Lonchura striata: one gene and its partner. The protein of the gene in region 1 interacts with the protein of each later gene in a pairwise test. Links are inferred from orthologs where the notes say so. Each region holds a gene or a part of one and is shown on either strand. Other genes may lie near its edges.

Evidence for each region.
Region 2: the proteins of NAIF1 (region 1) and SOX14 interact in binary tests that used the Homo sapiens proteins (3 or more experiments, as listed by UniProt). The two-hybrid records come from large-scale screens. The link is inferred for Lonchura striata from reciprocal best matches to the Homo sapiens genes NAIF1 and SOX14.

Annotation. Positions count from the first base shown.
Region 1 is NC_134624.1:788,122-791,823, forward strand, and holds NAIF1 (nuclear apoptosis-inducing factor 1), read right to left. Parts: upstream 2,362-3,702; 5' UTR 2,351-2,361; coding exon 1,840-2,350; intron 1,000-1,839; coding exon 536-999; downstream 1-535. Other genes in the region: mitochondrial adenyl nucleotide antiporter SLC25A25, read left to right, coding at 3,254-3,529. UniProt on the Homo sapiens protein: Induces apoptosis.
Region 2 is NC_134612.1:5,765,262-5,768,055, forward strand, and holds SOX14 (transcription factor SOX-14), read left to right. Parts: upstream 1-900; coding exon 901-1,623; 3' UTR 1,624-1,997; downstream 1,998-2,794. UniProt on the Homo sapiens protein: Acts as a negative regulator of transcription.

The DNA of each region.
Region 1 (3,702 bases):
GAGAGACAAAAAGAGAGGTAAAATACTTAGGACAGATTTTTTCCAAACAGAAATTAAAAAATAACTTAAAAAAATAAATCTATTGTTTGAGGAACTAAAGCAATTCATGTTAAGTTGCTGTCTTATTACACATCCTGCTATGGCTCAGAATGAGAGTCTGAAAAGGCAGATTAGCACAAGATTAGCAGAGAAAGCTGTCTAGACTCAGCCAAACTCCAAGGGAGCCATTCACACTGACAAGAGGCAGCACCCCTTGCTCCCAAGTGTCCTCTGCCAGCATGGGTAGGTTTTTGGCATGGCAGATATCCCACAGAATCACAGACTTTGAGATCATTGAGTTCAATTGTTTCCCCAGCACTGCCACATCCACCACTAACCCATGTTCCCAAGTGCCATATCTATACATTTTTAAATCCCTCCAGGAGTGGTGACTCCACCACTGCCCTGGGCAGCCTGTGCCAGGGCTTGGCAACCCTTTCAGGGAGGAAATTTTTCCTAACACGAATCCAAAGCTCCCCTCCCATCACTGTTTCTTTCACTGGATCATACCATCTTGCTGCCCTGTCTGGCCAGGGTCAGTGGTGACCGATGGGCTGGGTGTATTGCTCTGCAAAAATCGACGGAAGTCCTTAATCATGGGGCGGAGGACCTGGATGAGGGCACTCAGCGCTGCCTGCGTCCCCTCCATGGCCTGTGCCTGCCGCTCCTGGGCACATGCCTGCACCTCCTGCGAGCGGCGAATCATCTGCAGCAAGTCATTCTGCTGCTCCAGGTGCTGGGCAATCTCCTTCACGTGCAGGTTGGTTACTCGCTGCTCCTGCAGGAGCTTGGCTGAGTTCAGGGCAATGCGGCTTTTCAGCTCCTGGGGCTTGGCGGACACCTCGTGTTGGTGGGCCATCATCTCCAAGGGCGCCTCCGCAGTGACGGTGGTGGGGGCTTCCGTGGTGCAGTACTCCACAACCCCGTCCTCCAGACTGTGGTAGGTTGTCTCTGCAGGAACTGAGAACAAAGGACAGAAAGGGAGTCAGGAGTAGCTGTGATACAGGATTTTTATCTACAGGACTATTCAGTGAATACCACAGGAATACGGCCTGTTCAGCGAGATAACATACAACGGCCAGCAATGCACAAAATGACCTATTTAAGTCTACTCCACCCTCACTCGAGCTTCCTTCTGGGCTGTACAATCCAAAGGAACAGGGAATGCCTTATCTGTCTAGACAATATAATTTCTCAATCTCCAGTTTAGAACAATCTTTCCAAACAGCATTAACTGACTGACACAACAGCAAAGACCCTGAATGGCCCCTGTTGGCAGAAGAGCTGCACCTTGGGAAACTGCACGCTGGAAAATCAGCCCTGAAGAAGTTTTTCCCTGTGCTTTTGTTCCCAGAGAGGGACTGAAGAATTTCCCAAGGTGCACAGGATCCTTGATTCCCTTATCCTCAAGGCTGAGTCCAGCTGTCAAAGCTGACTTTCAGTACCTTCATGTCCTGTGGCCACTCCTACACCACAAGGGCAGAGTGGGAGGAGCATTTCATGACAGAGATGTGGGGATTTCTTTCTGTTGGGGTTTCGAGATCTCCGCCCAAAGAACCCGTGGGCACCCTATCCCTGGAAATGTTCAAGGCCAGGCTGGATGCAGCAACCTGCTCTAGCAAAAGGTGTCTCTGCCCATGGCAGGGGGCTGGAACTGGGTGCTCTTTAAGGTCCTTTCCAACCGAAACCACTCTGTGGTTCTGTCCCCACACAAGCTCGGGGCGTCCTCGCAGGGGGGTGTCAGGGCCTTCGCTGGCCCTGCAGTGCAGCGCAGAGCGTTCCGGCGGGCGCAGCACTCACTCTGGGTCAGGGTGACCGTGGTGGCCGAGGCGGTGATGGGGATGTCGCTCCCGTCACCCACGCCGCAGTCGCCGCTCGGCAGGCTGATGATGGTGGCCTCTCCCAGCAGGTTGCAGATGCGCTGCTGCATGGGGGTGAGGATCACCGGGGCGGCCGCGCCGCCCGCCGGGTCCTCGCCCTCGGGCCCGTTGCCGCCGCCGTTCTGGCTCTCGCCTCCCCCTTCCATGGCAGCCCGCACTTGGGCCACTTTGCGCCGCACCTCGGTCTTGAGGTCGGACCACTTCTTCTTGACCTCGGGCAGCTCGCGGTGGCAGGTGGCGACGGCGTTGACGCGGCGCAGGATGTCGTGCCAGGCGGCGGCCTTGGCGGCCAGCGGCACGCCCGCGTTGAAGTGGTTGACGAGGAGGTGCTTGCCCCGCTCCAGCTCCTCCACGATGATCTCCACCTCCCGCTCCGAGAAGTTCATCTTCCGCTTCTTGGCTGGGGGCGCCGGCGGCGACGCCATGGCCATGGGGGGCAGCGGGGACGGGGCACGGGGTCACACCTGAGGGGGCCTGGGGGGCGCTGGGGACGGCCGAGGGGCGGCAGGGCCCCCCCACCCCCGGGGCCGGGGACAACAGGGGGGCCCCGAGGCCCCTCAGGGCCCGGAGGGGTCGGTCCCCCCCGCTCCCCCTTTGGCACCGCCAACGATACGCAAATTGCGTACGGCGCCCGCCCGGCAGCCCCGCGCAACGGCCCCCGCCCTGCGGCACTGGCGTAATGGCTTCCAGAATCGGCCCCTCTTCCTGCCACGCCTGATTGGCTCGCCCGCCTGTCCGTCACACGAGTTGCCCGCCTCCCGTCTGTATTACCGCAGTACTATTGGTCAACAGCCCTGTCCATCAGGCAGACAGGAGGCGGCCCCGCCCCGCCGCTGGTCTCAGGGCACTGGGCCTGCGTGGGGCCGGCGAGGGGTTGGGCCCGCCCGTGGATTTCCTCGCTCCGATCCCATTGGGTGCTGCTGCTGTCCATCACCCCAGAGCGCGCACTGCTTTCCAACCTACCGGGTGCGCGCGCCGTCCGTCCAGCTCAAACTGCCCGGCGGCTCCGGCTCTGATTGGCCGCGTTCTGCCCAGCACCGCCTTCCCGCGGGCTGCAGCCAATCGCGGCCCGGCCCGCGCGCCCGCCCCGCTCCCTGTGCATCACCCCAGACACCGCGGCGCTCCCTTCCCATTGGTGCGGACGGGGGCGTCCCCTCTGACGTCGCGACCCGCCGCTCCGGGTGGGCGCCGCGGGGCGTGTCCCAGGGCGTGTCGCTCGCTGTGATTGGCCGGCGCGGGGCGTCACGTGGCGCTGGCGGCGCGTGGCGCGAAGGCGGAAGCGGCGCCATTTGCCGGTGCCGCGGGCGTGAGGGGCGGTCGGTGTCGGCGCGGCCATGCCGGGGGCGCGGCGCTCTCTCGCCTCCCCGGTGGTCAGCGGCGTTCTCTGCCCATGCGGGTCCCCGCACGGATCTGCGGTGGAGAGCGGCGGCGGCGGCGGGGGGAACGCGGGGTCCTGCGGGCGGTCGGTCTGCGAGGCCTCCGAGCAGGACCGCCGTCTCCGCGCCTTGTTCCAGAAGCTCGACGTGAATCGCGACGGCGCGCTCTGCATCCACGATCTGGCCGTGGGGCTGGGCCGCCTCGGGCTGCACCGCACCGAGCTGGACCTGCGGGTGAGCGGCGGCGGGCGGTGGGATCCGGCCCGGCGGGGCGGAGCGGTCCCGCGGTCCGGGCTTGAGGGAGGGTTTGGCCGCTCCCCTCGTCCCGTGTCCGCTCCGGAGCCCTCTCCGTGCGCGTCTCGGGAGCGGGACGTGGACTTTGGAGACCTTCCAGCTGTGTCTCGCCG
Region 2 (2,794 bases), on another chromosome or scaffold:
ACGGGCGTTTCGCGGGAGGCAGGCAATTATTCAAAGCAAGCCGGGACGCGGGCCGGCTCCCGGGGTTAAGCGGGGCTGCGGAGCGGGGAAGGCGGGGGCTGGGGAAGCGAGAGAGCGGCCGGGAGCGCGGGGAGGACGGGGGCGCGGGGGGACGCGGACAGCGGCGGGCGCACGGCGGAGCGCGGCGCTCGCAGCCCCGACGGCGGCGGCGGCGGAGCCTGGAGGGCGCCGGGACCGGCCCCGCTCCGCGCACCCCAGGGATGGGGGAGGATGAGGAAGATGGGGACGACCCCCTTCTCCATCCCCCTTCCTCCACAGCTGCTATTAGCGCAGCAACTCACAAAAGCCGTCCTTTTAATCCGCGCGTTAGAAGGCGGTGGGGGGCGGGGGGTTCCTCCTGTCCCCTCCTTCCTTCCTCCTCCTCCCTCCTGTGTCCCCTCCCCTCCTCTTCCTCTCGCCCTTCCTCTCTCCCTCTCTTTTTAAGCGGGCCCCCTCCGCGCTGATTGGGCGCCCGGCCGCTCTGTGACCGCCCTGCCGCTATGTCAGCCTGCCCGCCGCAGCCCCGCGCCTTTGAACTGCCCCGCACCGCCCCGCGTCCCCACCGCCGGCCCGGTGCTGCGCCCGGCGGCTCCCCGCCCGCCTAGTGCCCGCCGGGCCCCGCGGGCCTCCGCTCCGCGCCGCTCCGCGCAGCCCCGCGCCCCGCCCCGGCACGGCTCCCGCCGGGGACGGCCTTGCCGGAGGACCTGTGATGATCAGCTGAGCCCGCTCCTGCCGCTCCTCCGGCTCCCCCGGCCTTCTCCCGCCGTTCCTCCTCCTCCTCCTCCTCCTCGTCCTCCTGGTCCTGCCGCCGCCGTCCGGCGCCCCCAGAGCCGCCCGCCCGCCCGCCCGCCCGGCCGAAGCATGTCCAAGCCCAGCGACCACATCAAGCGCCCCATGAACGCCTTCATGGTGTGGTCCCGCGGCCAACGGCGCAAGATGGCCCAGGAGAACCCCAAAATGCACAACTCGGAGATTAGCAAGCGGCTGGGCGCGGAGTGGAAGTTGCTCTCCGAGGCGGAGAAGCGCCCGTACATCGACGAGGCCAAGCGGCTGCGGGCGCAGCACATGAAGGAGCATCCCGACTACAAGTACCGGCCCCGGCGCAAGCCCAAGAACCTGCTGAAAAAGGACAGGTATGTCTTCCCTTTGCCTTACCTCGGGGAAACAGATCCCTTAAAGGCCGCCGGGCTTCCCGTGGGGGCCACTGACTCGCTGCTGAGCTCCCCGGAGAAGGCCAGGGCTTTCCTGCCTCCCACCTCAGCACCTTACTCCTTACTTGACCCCAGCCAGTTCAGCTCCAGCGCCATTCAGAAGATGACTGAGGTTCCTCACACCTTAGCCACCAGCACCCTGCCCTACGCCTCCACCTTGGGATACCAGAACGGGGCGTTCGGCAGCTTGAGCTGCCCCAGCCAACACACCCACACTCACCCCTCGCCAACTAACCCGGGCTATGTCGTGCCATGTAACTGTACCGCTTGGTCGGCTTCCAGTTTGCAACCTCCAGTTGCCTACATATTATTCCCTGGCATGACCAAGACTGGGATAGACCCCTATTCTTCAGCACACGCGACTGCCATGTAACACCCACCCACCCGCACCCCCACAGGCGTGTGTGTGTGCGTGTGTCCCCCACCCCGGCCGGCAGCTGGAACTGGGAATCCTCCGTGTGTGCATGTACATAAAACCTGCAGGAGCAAAAGGCCGCCCGAACCAGGACTCTGCCGCCCGCCGCCGGGCCGGGACAGACGCGGACGCTGCCTCGGAGATGCTCTCGCCTAAAGCTCGCCACGAGAGCTGGCCCCAGGCTCGGGGGGGATCTGCAATCGCGGGGGCAGATAGGAGCCCGGCACTTGTAAGAGTTGTAAATGTGTTTAAAAACAGAAAAGCAAAGCGAACCTTGAACTGCCCTTTCGGGACAAAGCGGGGAGAAAAAGACAAAAAAAAAAAAAAAAAAAAAAAAAAAAAAGAGACAGGCGGTTTCGATTTTTATTTATTCTCTTAATGTCTATGAGTTCTCCAGGGTCTCATGTCACTTGGACTTGACTTTGGGAAGTACCGGTCTTACTCTGATTTTATTTTTTCCCCCTCGTTGTTTTCCTTTTGCACATTGAAAAACGAGATCAGCTGTGTTATATATATATAAATATATATATATTTTGCCACCACGTATTACTAGGTAAAATTGCTTTTCATGTCAGAAAAAAGGCTCTTCAAAGTTAAAAAAGAAAAAAAAAAGACAAAAAAAAAAGAAGGGGAGAAACACTTATATTTAAAACCTATGATAGTGTTTGCTTAATTTAAAACAGATAGTCCTTAAATTTGTGTGATCCAGTGAGACTAGATCTAAGTTTACTTTAGACAGAGCGTCAGGTATGAAGTCAGGCAGTAGAATTGTAAAAAAATTAATACTACTACTACTACTACTAACGAAATACCGAATAAAAACCGATGGCAATTTAAATATGTTTTCACAATGTCTTGGGCAAGAAGAAACAGAAACTAAGATGTATCCGGCAGGATTTTACCTCGTTAAACCTTTTCATTTGTTGAACAAAGACGTTTTGAATAAAGACAATCTGTCATCAAACGAGGCAAGTGCGTGCTGTGAGTGCGGGGACGCAGCCCCGCGTCCCACACCGCTGCCCCCGCGCCCGGAGCGACCCCCGCCCGCAGCCCGCGGCTCTCCCGGGCCCGGGGCCGCTCTGGAGCCGGGCCGGGCCGGGCTGTGCCGTGCCGGGCTGTGCCGTGCAGT